Linked DNA regions of Caenorhabditis elegans. The protein of the gene in region 1 purifies or fractionates together with the protein of each later gene. This does not show direct contact. Each region holds a gene or a part of one and is shown in the gene's direction. Other genes may lie near its edges. The genes, in order: wars-1, M04F3.4 and lars-1.

Evidence for each region.
Region 2: the proteins of wars-1 (region 1) and M04F3.4 fractionate together in Caenorhabditis elegans (co-fractionation; one large-scale study listed by BioGRID). This does not show direct contact.
Region 3: the proteins of wars-1 (region 1) and lars-1 fractionate together in Caenorhabditis elegans (co-fractionation; one large-scale study listed by BioGRID). This does not show direct contact.

The regions. Positions count from the first base shown.
Region 1 is NC_003283.11:18,853,160-18,861,171, reverse strand, and holds the start of wars-1 (Tryptophan--tRNA ligase, cytoplasmic), read left to right. Parts: upstream 1-1,950; 5' UTR 1,951-1,967; coding exon 1,968-2,127; intron 2,128-3,095; coding exon 3,096-3,403; intron 3,404-4,604; coding exon 4,605-5,090; intron 5,091-7,421; coding exon 7,422-7,721; 3' UTR 7,722-8,012. Other genes in the region: emb-4 (Intron-binding protein aquarius), read left to right, coding at 274-422.
Region 2 is NC_003279.8:4,770,757-4,774,939, reverse strand, and holds M04F3.4 (EF-hand domain-containing protein), read left to right. Parts: upstream 1-1,869; 5' UTR 1,870-1,915; coding exon 1,916-1,971; intron 1,972-2,564; coding exon 2,565-2,706; intron 2,707-2,754; coding exon 2,755-2,863; intron 2,864-2,932; coding exon 2,933-3,062; intron 3,063-3,258; coding exon 3,259-3,336; coding exon of another isoform or gene 3,337-3,340; exon of another isoform or gene 3,341-3,450; coding exon 3,451-3,454; 3' UTR 3,455-3,592; downstream 3,593-4,183. Other genes in the region: M04F3.5 (IMD domain-containing protein), read left to right, coding at 1-17, 632-882; rpa-2 (Replication protein A C-terminal domain-containing protein), read right to left, coding at 3,674-4,134.
Region 3 is NC_003281.10:4,181,007-4,188,690, reverse strand, and holds lars-1 (Leucine--tRNA ligase), read left to right. Parts: upstream 1-1,889; 5' UTR 1,890-1,906; coding exon 1,907-2,019; intron 2,020-2,069; coding exon 2,070-2,541; intron 2,542-2,999; coding exon 3,000-4,085; intron 4,086-4,510; coding exon 4,511-5,422; intron 5,423-5,691; coding exon 5,692-6,321; intron 6,322-6,578; coding exon 6,579-6,711; intron 6,712-6,764; coding exon 6,765-6,979; 3' UTR 6,980-7,142; downstream 7,143-7,684. Other genes in the region: R74.2 (FIP (Fungus-Induced Protein) Related), read right to left, coding at 1-328, 377-436; putative mitochondrial carrier C16C10.1, read left to right, coding at 7,259-7,322, 7,641-7,684.

The DNA.
Region 1 (8,012 bases):
AATTTTGACACCCATATCGGCTAGGTTCTGAAATGTTGAGTTTTCAGGCCCGGAAATAGGCCATTCTAGGCCGAAAAATGTACATTTTAGTGCTGCATATATACTATAATTATAATTATAAATCGCATTTTCGCTGAAATTTTACCTCTGAAAATTGGAAATTTCCAAAAAAAATCCATTTTTTTCGCAAAAAATGCCACAAAAGTAGCAAAAACTTTGATTTTTTTCGAAAAAAAAAATCTCTGAAAAACCTAAGTTTTCCGATATTTTCAGCTATGGAAAGAAAGAAAAAGCAGGAAATGGACGATAAAAAGGAAGCGGACATTCATTTCGAGGATATGGATCATGAAATGCAAGAACCTGCTGCTACTGCAGCACCGGCTCCAGGAGCTCCAGCAGTTGAAGAGCCACCACCGAAATAGATGGAAAATTCAGCAAATTTGGCCCAAAATCGATTTTTCTGCAATTTTCCATCATTTTTATGTTAAAATTCAGAAAATTTGGCTTTTTCTGTATTTTTCAGAATTTTCACCCGAAATTTGGCCAAAAATTGAATTTTTACTGTAATTTTCTATATTTTTCAGAATTTTCTCTCCTAAAATCCCCTGAAAATCGATTTTTCTGCAATTTTCCATCATCATTTTTTATGTTAAAATTCAGAAAATTTGGCTTTTTCTGTATTTTTCAGAATTTTCACCCGAATTTTGGCTAAAATTGAATTTTCCTACGATTTTTGTGTTAATTTATCCATTTTAATTTATTTTTTTGTTAACTCTCATCAAATTATGATCTTTTTTAAAAACTTTTTTCTAAAAATTTATTTTGTTGACTGATCCCCCCACCACATTTTTTTTTGACTGCAAATATATACATTTTCTGTGGAAATTTTGTGATTTTTTTTGCGATTTTTTGTGTTTTTTATCACAATTTTTACCTATTCTTTTCTTATTTTTGAGATTTTTTTTGCAGGAAAAATTTGAAAAAAAATCAAATTAAAATTCGTTTTTTGTCTGAAAAACGCAAAAAATTGAAATTTCTTCCAAAAATTTTGATTTTAATCAGAATTTATTATATTTTACCGTGAAAATTCCCTGAAAATGCGAATTTTTGCCGGAAAAATTCATCGTTTTTTCGGCTAGAAATTCCAATTTTGAGCGAAAAATTAAAATTCTACCGAAAATCGAATTTTATTAATTCAATAATTTCAATTTTTGTCGCTCTAAAATTTTACATAAAAATCCTCAAAATTTAATAAAAACTCAGATTTTTTCTGAAAATTTACTAAAAAATCATTATAAAATCGCGCAATTTCGGTTAAAATTTATTTAAAAAAACGTTTTTTTTTCAGAAATTTGGTGAAAATTTTGTCACAAATTAGATTTTTCGAGTAAATAACATAAAATTTGAATTTTCCTAAAATTTGCATAGAGATCCTTTAAAAATCACACATTGTTTGGAGCAAATTTCGTGAAAATTTGGTTTTTTTTCAGGAAAATTTTTTTTTTTTAAATCCAGTTTTTTCCAGAAATTTCCAGACACAACACTGAAAAAAATACAATTAAATCCGAAAAAACGCCTAAAAAATTGGATTTTTTGCTGAAAAACGCCTAAATTTCTTCCAAAAATTCGATATTGATCAGAAATTATTCATTTTTGCCCGAAAATTGCCAATTTTTACTAAAAATCCATATTTTCGCCTAGAAATGTAAATTTTGAAAATTTATTTTTAAATTCGATAATTTCAATTTTTGTCCCTAAAATTTTGCATAAAAATTTGATTTTTCGACAAATTTTATATTTTTTCTGAAAATTTGTAGAAAAATGGCTTTAAAAATGTGAAATTTTATGGAAAATTTTCGATTTTTTCACACAAAATTCTCAGATTTTTCTGGTTTTTATTCAATTTTTGTAAAAAGCTTCGTAAAATTCACCCCAATTTATTTTTTTCAGGGTTCAACACAGCAAAAATGGCAGCTCCAGCCGAACAAGTTGCGGCGGAAATTGAAAATTTAAAAGTGAACGGAGGAGCCGCCGGAGGAGGAGTTCAGGAAGATGAAGAAGATCGGGTTACACCATGGGAGGTTACCACTACAAAAGCCACTGGAATCGATTATGATAAGCTTATTGGTACGGAGAAGAAAATTGGTGGCTGAAAAACACGGAGAAAATCCAGATAAATGAGCCTAAACCCCCAAGAAAATTGGCTAAAATCGAATTTTTTTTTTGTAAAAAAAAGTGTTTCCACTGAATTTCGTGTGATTTTTCCCATCAAAATTCGCATTCTCCATGAAATTTGCGAAATTTTGACACCCATATTGACTGGGTTCTGAAAATTTGAAATTTCAGGCCGAAATAGGCCGATTTCAGTGCCGTTTTGGGCTTGAAAAGTATAAATTGTAGATTTCGAGAACCTTATTCCATAAATATACTAACTTGTTACATATTGACTAAAATCTAAAAAATTATAGATATTTTTGGCCCAGAATGGCCTATTTCGGCCTGAAATTTTAAATTTTCAGAACCTAGCCGATATGGGTGTCAAATTTCCGCAAATTTCAAGGAGAATTCGAATTTTGTTGGGAAAAAACACGAAAATCTCAAAATTTAGTAATTTCTCTTCAAAAATTTGCATTTTTTTGACTTTTTCACCATTTGTCCCGACAATTGCGGGGACATGGGACACACCATATAATTTTTCAGTAAAATTTTCGAAATCTCCATACAATTTCCGAAAGTTTGACACCCAAATTGACTGGGTTCTGAGAAATTAGAGTTTCAGGCCGAAATAGGCCGATTTCAGGGCTGTTTTGGGCCGAGGTGCATAAATTCTCCGAACCCAGTCAATATTTGTTCTAGATATTTGCAAGAACAATATATTTCGTCCAAATTCCGAATTATGTAACCTAAGGCCTAAAATAGCCTGAAATCGGCCTATTTCGGCCTGTAATTTCCAATTTTCAGAACCTAGCCGATATGGGTGTCAAAATTTCGGAAATTTCATGGAGAATTCAAATTTTCCATATTTGAACTGAAATTTTCGCTAAAAATTCACCAATTTTTACAGTTTTTACACCAAAATTTCTCAATTTTTCCAGTGAAATTCGGTTGCCGGAAGCTCGACGAGGAGATAATTGCCCGTTTCGAACGTGTTACCGGACACAAAGCCTCCCCAATGCTCCGCCGTGGAATGTTCTTTGCTCATCGTGATTTGACGGCAATTTTGGATCGAAAAGAGCAGGGAAAACCATTCTACCTGTACACAGGCCGCGGAGCATCGTCTGGAAGCCTACATTTGGGCCATTTAGTCCCATTTATCTTCACAAAATGGCTTCAGGAGGTGTTCGATGTGCCACTTGTCATTCAAATGACTGATGACGAGAAATTCTTGTGGAAAGATATGAAGGTAGCCGAGCTTTTTTTTTTTGGCTGAAAATTCGAAATTTTTCCCGGATTTTCGTAATTTTTCATGTGAAAATTCGAATTCTCCATGAAATTTCCGAAGTTTTGACACCCATATCGGCTAGGTTCTGAAACATTGAATTTTCAGGCCGAAATAGGCCGATTTCGGGCCTTTTCGGGCCCAAAAGTGTATGTTTTCAGAATCGAGTCGATATTTACTATGGCTTGAAACACATTAACTATACATTGAAAACTTCAATTTTTGGGCCCAGAACGGCCTGAAATCGGCCTATTTCGGCCTGGAAACTTAAAGTTTTCAGAACCCAGTCAATATGGGTGTCAAAATTTTGGAAATTGCATGAAGATTTCGAATTTTCATATAACAAGTTACTAAAAACACGAGAATCCCAAAATTTTAGTAATCTTTTTTTTCAGACCGAAAAAGGCCGAGTTTAGGCTTTTTCAGGCCCAATTTTCAAAATTTTCAGAACCTACACGAAAAACATTTTAAAGTTTGATTTTAAAAATATGTGTCCACTATATTCCAAAAAATTATATTTTTGAGCCCATAACGGCCTGAAATTGGCCTATTTCGGCCTGGAAACTCAATTTTTCAGAACATAGTCAATATGGGTGCCAAAATTTCGGAAATTTCATGGAGAATTTGAAAACATTACTCAAAAATCACGTGGAGTGTCCCATGTCTCCGCAATTGTCGGGACACATTTAAAAAAAGTCAAAAAAATCATATTTTTGAGAAAAAATTACTAAATTTTAAGATTTTTCCTTTTAAAATTCGAATTCTCCCCAAAAAATTTGCGAAAATTTGACACACCCATAACGACTAGGTTCTGACAGTTTAAATTTTCAGGCCGAAATAGGCCAATGTGGGCCCAGAAAAATATACATTTTTAGATTTTCGCCAATTTATATCAAATTAGTGCCACTTATAGAATGCACATAGGCTAGGTTTTTCAAAATGTACAAATTTAGGCCCGAAACGGCCCAGAATCGGCCTATATCGGCCTGAACTTTCCAATTCTCAGAACCTAGTCAATATGGGTGTTAAAATTTCGGAAATTTCATAGCGAATTTGAAAACATTACTGAAAAATTACGTGGAGTGTCTGTCCCATGTCCCCGCAATTGTCGGGACACAAATTTTTTGAAGTCTAAAAAATGTTCATTTTTTCATTCAAATTTCAGGTCGACGAGGCGAAAAAAATGGCCCGTGAAAACATGAAAGACATCATTTCCGTCGGTTTTGATCCGACAAAAACCTTCATTTTCAACAATTTCGACTACATGTGCCCACCGTTCTACGAGAATATCGTCAAAATCTGGAAAGTCGTCAATACGAATCAGGCCCGAGCGATTTTCGGCTTCACCCCCGAGGATTGTCTCGGAAAAGCGGCTTTTCCGGCTGTCGAAGCGGCTCCGTGCTTTGCTTCATCATTTCCACAAATTTTCGGAAAACGAAACGATATTCCATGTCTGATCCCGTGTGCCATCGACCAGGACCCATTTTTCCGTATGACACGTGACGTGGCTCCAAGATTGAAGGCCTCTAAGCCATCTTTAATCTTTTCCACATTCCTACCGGCTCTTACGGGAGCACAGACGAAGATGAGCGCTTCTGAGCCGAATACGTGTATCTTTTTGAGTGATACGGCGAAACAGATTAAGAATAAGGTGATTAGCAGCGAAAATTGAGTTTTTTCTTGAAAAAACGACCGAAAAATGAGTTTTTTCATGAAAAAACGAACGAAAATTGAGTTTTTTCGTGAAAAAACCACCGAAAATTGAGTTTTCTCACGGAAAAACGAACGAAAATTTTGTTTTTTCATGAAAAAACGACGGAAAATTGAGTTTTTTCATGAAAAAACGACCGAAAATTAGACAAATCCCTCCAAAATTGAAAATTTGCGAAAAAACGAATGCAATTTTAGATTCCTGGCGTTTTCGTAATTTTTCTTTTAAAATATCGAATTCTCCACGAAATTTGCGAAATTTTGACCCCCATATCGACTTGGTTTTGAAATTTTGTAATTTCAGGCCGAAATAGGCCATTGTGGGCCGAAAATCGTACATTTTTGTCAATATATATCAACCAAGTAGATTTATGGAAGATATACAGGCTCGGTTCTGAAACGGCCTGACATAGTTTTTTTTTCGAAAATTTGTGAAATTTTGGTGGCCTGAAACGGCCCGAAAATTCAAAATTTTTTGAAAATTGCCCATTTCGTCAAGAAATTCAAATTCTCCGCAACCTTCGTGTTTTTCTGAGCCTCAAAAAGTTTCTGGGCCTAAACAGCCCGGAAACGGCCTGAAATTTCGGACAAAGAATTTTCCTTGAAATTTAAAAAAAATTTAAAAACGATTAATTATGTTTAACATAGACTCAGGTTTTGAAGTTTTAAATTTCCAGACCGAAATAGGCAGAGCTTAAGCCTTTTCAGGCCTAAAATTCAAAATTTTCGAGAACTTACACGAAACAAATTTCTCATATTCGATTAAAAAAATATGCGTTCACTAGATTCCAAAAAAAAAAAATATTTTTTGAGCCCATAACGGTCTGTAAACGGCCTATTTCGGCCTGGAAACTCAATTTTTGGAAAAAAAACATTTAAAAAACGTACCAGAAACTCCTGAAGTACAATTTTACTGGAAAATAACGTGTTTTTTTTTCGAAATGAGCATAGTCGTTATCATTAGGCGGTCGAAATAAGTGAAAAATGATGATTTTGATGGAAAAATGAGTTTTCTCTGAAAAATAATCACTTAATGATGATAAATGATGAATTATTTTGTACTTCTTATCATCATATTTTTCTTTTCTTTTGGAATAGATATAAATTGTAGTTTGTATGATTTTTGATTCCATCACGTAGTATAAAAACTAAAATTTGTTGGAAAATTGATGCAATATGAGGCAAAATTGGTTGAAAGGTCGGCCTAAATCGGCCTAAAAAGAGCTGACAACACCGTTTTAAGTTTTCACATTTTCTGTGAATTTTGCGTGTTTTTCATGTCGAAATTCGAATTCTCCTTGAAATTTGCGGAAATTTGACACCCATATCGGCTAGATTCGGTGAGCCCGAATTTTCAGGCCGAAATAGGCCGATTTTAGACCACTTTGGGCCCTAGAATATACAATTTTGGAATTTGGTCAAAATATGTTGTGCTTGCAAATATGTAGGCTAAATATTGGTTAGGTTATGAGAATTCACACGCTTCGGCCCAAAACGGCCCAGAATCGGCATAATTCGGCTTGGAAACTCAATGTTTCAGAACATAGTCAATATGGGTGTCAAAATTTTGGAAATTTCATGGAGATTTCGAAAATAGCACTTAAAAAAATACGAGAAGTGTCCCATGTCCCCACACTTGTCGGGACAAATTTTAAAAAAGTCCAAAAAATTCAAATTAAAAAAAAAATTACTAAATTTTGCGATTCTTTGGATTTTCATAATTTTTCCTCATGAAATCCGAATTCTCCATGAAATTTACGAAATTTTGACACCCATGTCGACTAGGTTCTGAAAATTTGAAAATTCAGGCCGAAATAGGCCATTCTCGGCCTAAAAATATACATTTCTAGATTTTGGTATATATATCTACTCACTAGATTTATGGAATATAAATAGCCTATATTTTGGAAATGTATAGTTTTGTTCTCAAAACAGCCTAAAATCGGCCTAAATAGGCCCATTTTCGGCCCAAAAACATATTTTTTAGAATCATGGCAATTTATATTGATCTCATTAAAGTAATCAAAATGTAAGAAATGAATGCTTAATAATTTTTATTATTGGGTCTAAAGCGGCCTAAAATCGGCCTATTTCGACCTGAAATTTCCAATTCTCAGAACATAGTCAATATGGGTGTCAAAATTCCGCAAATTTCATGGGGATTTCGAAAATCTCACTGAAAAATTATTTGGAGTGTCCCATGTCCCCGCAATTGTCGGGACAACTTTTTAAAAAGTTCGAAAAAAAAATTTCAATTTTTTGTCCTTTTCAGATCAACAAATACGCATTTTCGGGGGGTCAACAAACTGTGCAAGAGCATCGCGAAAAAGGTGGCAACTGTGACGTGGATATCTCATATCAATTCCTTCGTTTCTTCCTCGACGACGACGAGAAGCTGGCCGAAATCCGAGAGAATTACACGAAAGGAGAAATGCTTTCGGGTGAATTGAAGGCCCTTGCCACACAAAAAGTACAGGAAATTGTACTGGAAATGCAGGAGCGACGCAAGCTGGTCACCGATGAGACTGTCGAAGAATTTGTCAAAGTTCGGCCATTGGCCTATAAATATTAGGCCGTTTAGGCTCAGGCTTAGGCCCAATTGTTGAGATTTTCCTTTTTTTTTTTACTCGTTGTTGGTGTTTTTTCTTATTTAATTTTTTGCTTAAAATTTAGTTTCCCCCGTTTTTTCCAGAATTTTTGGATTTTTTAGCCTTAAAATTTGACCTTTTTCAAAAAATTTCGGTTTTTTTGAAATTTTTGGCCTAAAAATTGGATTTTCAACCAGAGTATCAGAAAAGTTCCCAAAAAATTTGAATTTCCGCTGAAAAATCGAGTTTTCCGCTACAATTTTGGCCTTTTTTCA
Region 2 (4,183 bases), on another chromosome or scaffold:
AGTTCGCATGAGAACTAGTGCGTTTTCAGTTTTTTAAATTCATTTGATAATTTTGAATTGAAAAAAACCGCTATAATTTGAAAAAACAAAAAATGTGATTTTTCAATGGAAGAAATTCAAACAAAGAGATTTTTTACTTTCCAAAATTTATAAATTTTTTCTCAATTTTTTCGGTATTTCCAAATGAAAAAAAATTTAACTTAAATCTGAATCCGTATTTAAAAAAAAGTTAAAATCAATGATGACTCCAAAAAATTGAAAAAAACCAAACTTTCGATTTTTTGAAAATCTAAAAATTTGAGAAAATTGTACGGAAAAGACGAGAAAAAACGGGATATTGAAAATATGCTGATTTTAATTTTTTAAAGAATAAATTTCTTCAAAAAAAAAACTGGAAATTATTAAACAAAATTTTTAAAAAGCCGAAACATCTTTTTCTTATCAAATTCAACATTTTTTATGAATCTATATTTCTTATATGTATTTCCAAAAAATAATTCAAAAAAAATTTTATTTTTATTTTTTGATTTCTCGAAAAACTAAAAAAAATTATTTTTTTTAGTTTTTCGATTTTCATAAAAATTCCTAAATCTACACCATCAATTTCCAGTCAGAATTAAAAAATTTTCAGCATCCGCATCTCGACCACCACCACCAGCCCGCCGTACATCCCAAATCACTGCAGCCACCCCGACCGCTCCTTCAGTTGCCGAGCAACGAATGAATGGATCAACTATGGGAAGCCGTCAATCTCTGGATTCGGCTGGACTTTACGATCCAGCACATCCACAACAATTCTATCAAATGTCATCTTTCAATCGATCGAATAATGTGAATGGTCAAGCTTCAGCGACTGCAGCAGCAGCAAAATTTCGAATTTAAATAGATTTTAAATTTATTTAGTTTTTTTTTTCTTATTTTATTCGGAGTCTTTTGAATTGCAAAAATACTATGTTTGATACCAAAACGGGCATTTTCTATCTCTTTTTTCTATGTTTATTTTATTCCTTTTCCTTTTAAAATGTAGAATAACATTCGTACTGTATATAAAAAGCATGTTCTCCCTCAATTTGGGATCCCAATTGTTCTTTCTGACGAAAAAGATAAACGATTTTTGTTTTTTTTAATGCGTTATTCATCCAAAATATGTTTTATTTTTCAGAAAGTTTATTTGGACAGGCAAATAATTATTCCAAACATTTTGAAAAGTCGAAAAAAGAGAAAAGTTTATTTTAGGAAAAAAATTACTATATTTTTTGCATTTTTTTACCACAAAACTACGGTACCAGGTCTCGACACGACAAGTTTTGGTAAACATAAATGGGACTGCGCCTTTAAAGATTACTGTAGGTTGAAAACTTCGTTGCTGTGGTATTTTCATTTATTTTTATCTAAAGCTTGTGTGTTATGTTTTTATTATGTTATGCTGAATTTTTTAGTAAATAAATATATTTTTAATTAAATTAAAATTTTAGCGAAAAACTGTGTGCACCTTTAAAGAGGACTGTAATTTCAAACTGGAATTGTTTCGATTTTTCATAGTTTTTTCATGATCAGAGTTATATTCCAGCCCCTTTGAGATTCTCCAACTAGAAATATTCGATGTTTTTCAAAATATTACGAAAACTTCCTAACTATTTTCGTACATCTCAACTGTTAACATTCACTTTTTCATCACCTTATTTCACAATATTCATCATTTTCCCATCCCCCTGAAGAGAGTGAATGACTCACCACGGATAATGTGACGTCACTACTCAACAGTGTTTCTGGGCTCCGCCCACATCGATGCATCATCACCGCACACATTTTGTTGTTGTCTCACCGTCTGCGTCTCTTTTGAGTACTTCACATTCTTCTCTCATTTCATTTTATTTTTATTTTACCAATTCACACAGATTTTATCCATTTTTAGATGGCTTTTCAACAACCTAACTTGCAACAAATCTTCTCTTCTGTCGACAAGGATCGGTATGTTTTTATTAATAGTTTTAATAGTTAAATTGATATAACAATTTTAAAATTGGAGTAAATAAAATCAATAAATATGTTTCTCGTTGAAAATTTATTGTCAAAATTATGAATAAAAAAACAAAAAAAAATTTCGCTGTACCCGGTCTCGACACGACAAATTTCTGTTTTTGGAAAAATGTGTGTCCCTTTAAAGAGCACTGTAGTTTCAAACTTTTATTGCTGCGGAATTTTTATCGATTTTTCATAATTTTTTGATACAAAATATATTTATGTTTAAAAAAAATGAAACGCTCAAATTTGTATAAAATCACGAGAAAAAATATGAAAAATCGATGAACTTTGAAGCTATAGTACTCTTCAAAGGCGCGTATCTTTTAACAAAAACCAGAACTTGTCGTTTCGAGACTGGTTACCGTATTTTATGCGCAGAATATAATTTTTGTATTTTTTCAAGAGCCAAGAATCGCAAAAACAAACATTTATAAATTTAAAATTTTTATTTATATTTTTTTATTTAATATTTAATATTTAAAATTTTATTTATTATTTACATAATATTTAAAAATTAAACAAAATTTCCCAGTTTTCAGATCAGGGCAAATCAGTTCCGATGAGCTTCAAACTGCTCTCTCCAACGGAACATGGAACCCATTCAATCCGGAAACTTGCCGTTTAATGATCGGAATGTTCGACTCGAATGGAGACGGCGCAATCAATTTTCAAGAATTCCAGGTTTGAAAAAATATAAACCAGAATTTGTGAAAATAATCATATTTTCAGGCTCTGTGGAGATATATCAACGACTGGACAAACTGTTTCCGTGGTTTTGATACCGATGGTTCGGGAAATATTGATAAGAGTGAGCTGACCAATGCTCTCACACAATTTGGTTAGTTTTTAATCATAGAAAAGCGATAAGAAAATCGGAAACTCGATGACTGATCATATATTTCTTCAGGATACCGTCTCTCTCCACAATTCTACAACATCCTTATGCACAAATTCGACAGATCCCACAGTAATCGAATCAATTTCGACGATTTTATCCAACTTTGCGTCGTTCTTCAGACCCTCACTGCTGCCTTCAGGTTAGAAATCAGGGCTAAAATTGATTTAGAAATTTAGAGAAAAGCTCTTTTAAAAAATTCAAAATTTTTCAACAAAATTAAATATTACTTTAAAAATATTTTTAGATGGAACTAACTATTTTCTATGTTTCTATAGTAATTTTTGACCAAAAAATTTGGAGTATCATACTTTACAATCTGATTACTTAATTTTCAGAGACGTCGACACGGACCGCGATGGAGTCATCACCGTCGGCTACGAGCAGTTCCTGACAATGGTCTTTTCATTGAAAATGTGATTTTAAGAGTATTTAGAGAACCAACCACAATCCATTTTCGACCTAACACCTAGCACTTCTACTAGCTTCCATTCGAAAAAAAGTTAAATTCAATTTCGTTTTGTTTTCAGGTAGCTCGAAGTGTGTTCAATCGTCTGGGTTAATAATGTGATTTGCCGTTCCTCATGCTCTCTTTCCTCCTCGGATTCTTCGCATCATTAGCGTCTAATTAATTATGTTCAAATTTACTAATAAACGCTTTTAAAGTATGAATCATTCATAGTTTCGAGTATCAAAAGTGAATTTCCCAGTGGGATGAAAGAAGGATAATGAAAATAATGTTACAATCAGCAGTTAAATAGCGGAAACAGTTTCCTCGTCGACAGTGGTGTAGACCAATCCGTTCTCGACCATCTCACCGACGCACTTACGAACAATAGAAATGTTCGTTTCTTGAATTTGCTCAGCTATCCACGAAACATGTCGACCTTCGTCACGAGAACCCTCTGGCACAGCCATCAAGACGGCGGTAATGCGCTCTCTGAGCACATCTCCTTGGTTCGCTCCCGTCATCACTTTTTGCGGTTGAGCATACAATCTCTCCTTGGTGTCCGATCCTTGCGAGCTTTGATGCGATGTTTGTGACATTCTGCTCTTCGGTGGTGCCAGCATTCCTTGGAAGCCATCCGAGTCGACCGACTTCAGTTTCTCGCTCACGTTCTTTTGGAAGAACAGACGTGCAGCTTCTGCCTCGAGCTCGAAGATCGTGAAATCCTTGTCGTCTTCAACTGGAGTGATGTTGAACAGCATAATGGCTGAAATTATTTGAATTAAGATATATAATTGAAGGAAATATAAACTTAC
Region 3 (7,684 bases), on another chromosome or scaffold:
AACGGTAGGTTGCGAATGTGTACTGTGGTGGATATACATATGTCATTCCTGGACGAAGAAGATATCTTCTTGGAAGCCTATCCCATGGGTAATGCTGGAAGAAATACCCTCTTCTATAGGCGACAACTGGCCTCTTTGTGGTAGTTTGAACGGGATTCTGATTGCGTCCAATCGGATTTGGGTTCAAAAGTGGTGCACGAGTTGGAATATCGAATTTCGGTGCGATTGTTGAGTAGGTTACTTGTTTCAAATTATGGTTGGCACCAGCATTCTTGACCGGTTGAGATGAAAAATCAGAATAATCGTCACCAACATTATCCTGTCTTGCCTAAAAATTATCCATATTCGTAGGTACGAATTGTCCAAAGTAACTCACCTTTCTTTCAGCCAACGTGACCCCACAAATCGCCGCTAGAAAAATAATAGATCTCCTCATCTAGAAGTGTGTAAGATTGTTAAAATCGGTCAATCTCCATCGTCGTTAAATACTCCCAAAATCGGGTTGACTAGAAGTGTAACAAAACCTTCAAATAGCTGGACATCATCTGCCTCAAACAGATCTGGTTCTTGGCATATCGGGTAAAATTATATAAGTTTGTTGCGTAGTGATATACAACAAGGTGAGAAAGTGATGAAGACGACGGACGTCCATGGTTGCGCAATAAGTGAAATTAGAACTGGAAATTTTCGGAGATAAGGAATGTTTTTTTTTGTATATTGCGAATTAGGATATATCATGTTTTGCCTGGGTTAATCAGTAGTATCACTATGAAAATATATGATCTATTGTGTACCTTCTATTAAGAAGATGTTTAAATTTTTTGGTATTAAAATTTTGGTTAAAAAACAATTAAAAATTGGGAGAATTTCAGAAGATTTATGGAAACATATTTAGTTAAATATGGCTATTTTACTAAAATCTAGATTTCGGAACATTCTGCTTTGAGAAATTTAGATGAATTAATACAAATCGAGTCAAGTTCGTCCAGCGAAGAACCTATCTCAAGTCACTATTAAAGTCTGTCAGCCGGTATTTATAGCAAGGAGAAAGTGATGTTGAGTGTAATCCCACTTGTTGTAATCTGACCAATGTGTGTGTCCAACTTGATAAATTGGCCTTCATTGGATATGGAAAAGGAATAATTTTATGAACTAAGTATATTTTGCAAAATTCCATTCAAAAGTAGAAACCGTACTTGATTCGTTAAGAGCAAAACGGAGCATTTACGAATTTAATTCCAAGTAATATGGTGCAGTGTGACCTATTCCTGAAATCAGTCGAATATGAAATATTGCAAAAATTCCTTTTCAATATGTTTCATGTTGTAGCAGTTGTAGAATTTTTATATACCAAAAAATTTAAAGATAATTAAATTTATTATAAACTATTTTAATGTACCTTTAGCCTGTTATAGATTACTAATAATTGTAGAAAAAATCCAATTTCTGTTGTTGCTCCGAAAAAATCACTAATTGTATTTCTATAAATTGGTAAATTATTGTTCGAGAACTCGAAAAGTACATTTTTCTTCATTTTTTATAATATTGTATTATTTTATCGCCTTCTCCGAGTGATTGAAACCCCTATGAAAAGTTGGGAAAGTTGACGTGGCCGCGGTCGATGCCATTGCAAAACTAGGCCATGATAATGCAGGATTTTTAGAACGGTAGAAAATGGGCCTATTTTAAGTTGTTCCCTTTAAAATTTGAACTTTTTTATCGACAATTAAATCTCAATATCGATTTTTTTCCACAAACTTGTTTGCTTTCTAATCACTTATTGATTTTTTTCAAATAGAAACCAAGTAAATTTCATCATTTTGTGTTTTCTGATGTAATCTATTGCTTAAAAGAATTTTTTAAAGGTTTTAATTATTTTTAAATATCAGGGTAACAAATATCGACAATGTCGAAAATCAATAAGGAGCGGAAGAAGGTTGCTCAACTTCAAGAAATTGAAAAGAGCATTCAGGAGCTGTGGGAGAGCAAGAAGGCTTTCGAGGCGGATGCTAGGGATGAGTGAGTTTTTTCTGAAAATTTTGAATTATTTTCAATTTAAAAAATTTCAGTGGAAAACCAAAGTACCTCGTCACGTTTCCCTTCCCATACATGAATGGACGTCTTCATTTGGGACACACATTCTCAGCTTCAAAATGTGAATTTGCCGCCGGTTTCCAACGTCTTCAAGGCAAAGAAGTGCTCTTTCCATTCGGATTTCATTGTACTGGAATGCCAATTAAAGCATGTGCAGATAAATTGAAAAGAGAAATGCAAGATTTCGGATATCCACCAAATTTCCCGGAAGATGTTGTCGAGGAAGTTAAAGAAGAAGTTTCGGCTGTCGATGAGATTATCAAGGATAAGAGTAAAGGAAAGAAGAGTAAATTGGTGGCAAAAACTGGAAATGCAAAATACCAATGGCAAATTATGAAGTCTCTGGGATTGTGTGATGAGGAAATTAAGGAATTCTCGGATCCAAATCATTGGCTATATTATTTCCCACCACATTGCATTGCTGATCTTAAGAAAATGGGACTAAAGGTAAGATTTAAAGTGTTGAAATCATCTTAAAGTGTTGAAAGTGAGTTCTGTAAAAATAGTACTAAATTATTATGTTTTTCCAATATTTTTGATTAAAATTTAGTGATAGAATTTGGAAAAAAAACATTTGATTTATCTGAAAATAGTTTTTATTTTAGTGATTAAAAGTTGAAAATAACCTGTAAAAAAATTTCGATAATTGGTCGGTTTTTACCGGCGATTTTTTTGGCACTTTTCCAATTTTTCAACCTTAATCAAAGCTATTTTCAGATAAATGAAATATTTTTCTATATTATATCCCTGAATTGTATTTAATGAATATTGGAACAAAATGCCTTACTTCCTCATTTTTGCTTCTCCATTTTAATAATAATATAATTCTCAAAAAAATTTAACTTATCACAAAATTAAAAAAGAAACATTTCGAAATTATTAAATTAAAAATTGCCATTTTTCAGGCTGATTGGCGTCGTTCCTTCATCACCACCGACGTGAATCCATACTTCGACTCATTCGTCCGTTGGCAGTTCAACCTTCTTCGTGCAGCTAAGAAGATCGATTTCGGAAAGAGATATACAATTTATTCACCGAAAGACGGTCAACCATGCATGGATCACGATCGTGCCAGTGGAGAAGGTGTTGGTCCACAAGAATATACTCTTATTAAACTGAAAGTTCTTGATCCAAAACCTCAAGCTTTGAGCCATATCAAAGAGGATATTTATCTCGTTGCGGCTACTTTGAGACCTGAAACAATGTACGGACAAACGAATTGTTATCTCCATCCAGATATTCAATATTCCGTGTTTTATGCGACGGAAAACGAGAAACAAGTATTTGTGGCAACTGCCAGATCTGCTAGAATCATGTCATATCAAGGATTGACTAAGGAAAATGGTAAAGTCAACTATGTCCTGGGACTCGAGAAAATCGCTGGAAGCAAGATTCTCGGAGCTCCACTCTCTGCGCCTCTCGCAAAATACGAAAGAGTTTATGCATTGCCAATGTTGACTATCAAGGATGATAAGGGAACTGGTGTTGTTACAAGTGTACCATCAGACTCTCCAGATGATTTTGCAGCTTTGTCGGATCTCAAGAAGAAGAAGCCATTGAGAGAAAAATATGGATTGACTGATGAGATGGTTCTTCCATTCGAACCAGTTCCAATTATTAAAATCGAAGGACTTGGGGATTTGGCTGCAGTTGAAATGTGCTCAAGGCTGAAAATTGAGTCTCAAAATGAGAAGGACAAACTGGAAGAGGCGAAGAAAGAAGTTTATTTGAAAGGATTCTACGATGGAGTTATGCTCGTCGGAAAGTATGCTGGAAAGAAGACAGCCGACGTCAAGAAAGTTATTCAAGATGATTTGACAGCTGAAGGTCTTGCCACGAAATATGTGGAGCCTGAGAAGAAGGTGATGAGCAGATCTGGAGATGAGTGCGTCGTTGCGTTGTGTGATCAATGGTATTTGAATTATGGAGAGGCTGAATGGAAGGCTGCTGCAAAGAAGGTTCTTGAGCCACTCAGAACTTTCAATGATGAGGTATATTTTTTTAAATTATTTTTGAAAAAATATTATGTAGACGTCTAAAAATAAGAATCTTCGCCATCTCTTACGCGCAGAGGTCTTGCCACGCAGACAACGAGTTACTGTAACTTGCCGATCAAAGGGTTTTTTATTGCAGCATATTCTCTAAATAAAACCACAATTTTATCTAAAAATCGAAAAAATTTGTTCAAAGAATATCATAGTTTACAAATTACTCCAACTCTACGGACGATTTTTTTAAAACCCTTTTTGTTGAAATTGGAGTTTAATTTAAAGAATATGACGCAATAACGGCCCATTAGACAACAGAAGTTACAGTAATTCGTTGCCTGCGTCCTCTGCGCGTAAGATATGTCGAAAATTCTCATTTTTAGATGTCTATGTAGTATATTCTTATTCCGCTGAATTAAAATTTTCAGACCCGCCGTGGATTGGAAACCACAGTCGATTGGCTCCACGAGTATGCTTGCTCCAGAAGTTACGGTCTTGGAACCAAACTTCCATGGGATACTCAATACCTCATCGAATCTCTGTCAGACTCTACAATCTACAATGCTTATTATACAGTTGCTCATCTTCTCCAACAGGGAGCTTTTGATGGATCAGTCGTCGGACCTGCTGGAATTAAAGCTGATCAGATGACAGATGCTTCGTGGAGTTATGTATTCCTCGGAGAAATTTACGATTCGAAAACCATGCCGGTTGAGGAGGAAAAGCTTAAATCATTGAGGAAAGAATTCATGTATTGGTATCCAATTGATATGAGAGCATCTGGAAAAGATCTTATCGGAAATCATTTGACATATCTTCTGTTCAATCATGCTGCAATCTGGCCAACAGACACTTCAAAATGGCCAAAAGGAATTCGGGCCAATGGACATTTGCTCTTGAACAATGAGAAAATGTCGAAATCCACTGGAAACTTTATGACATTGGAAGAAGCCATCGAAAAGTTCAGCGCAGATGGTATGAGATTGAGTCTTGCCGATGCTGGGGATGGTTTGGAAGATGCTAACTTTGTGTACGCAATGGCAGATGCAGCTATTCTGAGACTATTCACTATGATCGAATGGATCAAGGAAATGATTGAACAACGGGATGCCGGACTTCTCCGAAAAGATGCAAAGAAATTCGCTGATCGAGTTTTTGCAAATGAAATGAATTCACTGATCGCTGCCACAGAACAAAATTATGAAGCTACCAACTTCAAGGATGCACTGAAAACTGGATTCTTCGAATATCAAGCCATTAGAGATACATACAGAGAACTTTGCGCTGGAATTGATGAGCCAATGAGCGAATCGCTTGTCTTTAGATTCATTGAAACTCAGGTATATTTTCAGAAAGATTTTTTTCTCAAGATGACAGATACCGATTATTAGTGTAAAAATTGAAAGAATTGTTTCAAATTCTGCAACAAAAATTCTAGAAAAACGAGAAAAAAAACAAATCAGTATTGCCGTATATTAAAAAAGTTTAGGAAATTTCTATAAATTTCTTAAAATCTATTTTCGTTCGATTAAGACTGATTTCTGTCATTTGGGGCAAAAAAAAAACGCCAGACGACACCTTTAAAAGTTTAATTTGTTTTTTATTTTAGATGCTCATCCTATCACCAATCTGCCCACATATTGCTGAATACATCTGGCAATTGCTCGGAAAAGACGGCTTGATTGTAAATGCTCCATGGCCAACTGTCGATCCTGTCGATGAGAAGCTCGCCATTGGTGCTCGTTTCATCACGGAATCGCTGGCCGAATTCCGTGCCCGACTGAAAACCTACATGACTCCAAAGAAGAAGGCACTGAAGGAGATTCCAGAAGTTCCAACTGAAGCAGTGATCTATGTTGCTAAAGAATATCCACCATGGCAGAAGACTATTCTTGATATTCTTGAGAAACAAGCCAAGGCTAATAATGGAGCACTTCCAGATAATAAAGCAATCAGTCAGCTCATTGGAAAAGAAGAATCACTCAAGAAATTCGCCAAAAAAGCGATGCCATTCGTTCAAATGATCAAGGAAAGATTCGAACAGAAGGGTGTTTCAGCATTGGCTTCTTCTAGTCCAGTTGATCAAACTTCAATTCTCAACGAGAATATTGATTTTATTATGAACGCTTTGGATTTGGATCGTGTTACTATTCGACATACTGATGAGGAGGGAATTGATGCGAATATTGTTGAGACTACAGTACCGCTGGTGCCAATGTTGAATTTCACGCCGAATAGAGTAAGGAAACATATTATAGGGGCATGGGAACATGCTCCGCCTTCTAACCATGGGTCTCGTTAGGTATTTGGCGGCAAAACCGTAAATTCAAACATTTTAAATTCGTCTCTGCAGTTTTCAAGCACGCCAAATACCTTACGAGACCCAACTGTAGGAGGCGGGGCGTTGTCAATCGGCAGTGGAGCGCATTTCCATATCAATTTCAAGAGGGGAATTTTTCTGCGTACCAATAATAATGACATCATAATTATTTTCAGCCAACAATCAAACTTGTCGCCAGAAATGTTCAAATCTGCAATGCAATGTTCGATGTTGATGTACCAATTGTTAATGGAGACAGTGTTTCAATGGTTATTCGGAAGATGAGACGCATCAGCAAGGCAATCAAACGTATGAGAAAACCCTATTCCGAAAACAATAAATTCAATTTATTATATTTTCAGCGAAATTCGAAGTGAGCCTCTGGAGATACAAGAACGCGGTTTGGGGAGATCGACAGATGATTTCGTACAGAAATCCATTCGAGGAGAACATTCAATTGTCCGACGCAGACATTTTCAATTTCGAGGCTGATAACAAGATTTCTGTGACTTCTGGAAGTGAAAAGTTCGATCTTGGGCGTACTATTGTGTACAAGGCTAACGTCCCAGAAAACTAGATTCTTTCTAAAAAATTATTTGTTCTTCTTGTTTCTAATAATATTATATCCCCACTTTTTGAGTTTTGTTGTTTCTATTCATTTTCATAATTTATACGTACCCGAATCCCTATTTCAGCTTTCACTGTTTTCTCCCTGTTTCCAAGTTGAATGAAAAGGTTTTTTTGTTATTATACTAGATTTTTGAAAACTGTGATTTGTTATCTAAGTATTTCAAACCTAATATTTTAAATGTGATTTTCTATTTTTTATCGGAAGTTTCCGTATTTCCAGTAACAGATGCCGTCACCATGTGAAAGCGGTAAAACGACAAATTGCTCCGGAGCACCTTCCTCGTCTTGTGGTGAATATTTTGATTATTACTCATTCGGGAAAATATGGGATTTTTATCGCAAAATTATGGTATCGGGTCTCGACACGATCGAATTACTTCCAAATGAAAAGTGGGTAACACATTGTTTTCTCGAGATTTTAAAGTCTACTAATTATTATTCATGTGACATCAAAATCTGGAAGGAGTGAGGCTACAGTACCTCATTTGAAAATATTTCGATCGTGTACAAACAAAAACAAAAATAAATTACTATACTTTTGCGTTAAAAAACTAAATTTTTCGAAGAAAATATCTGGAATAAAATATAACGAACAAAAATCTTTTCAGCGAAATCAGTAGAATGCTGCAAGAAGCAACTATCCGTTGGAGTA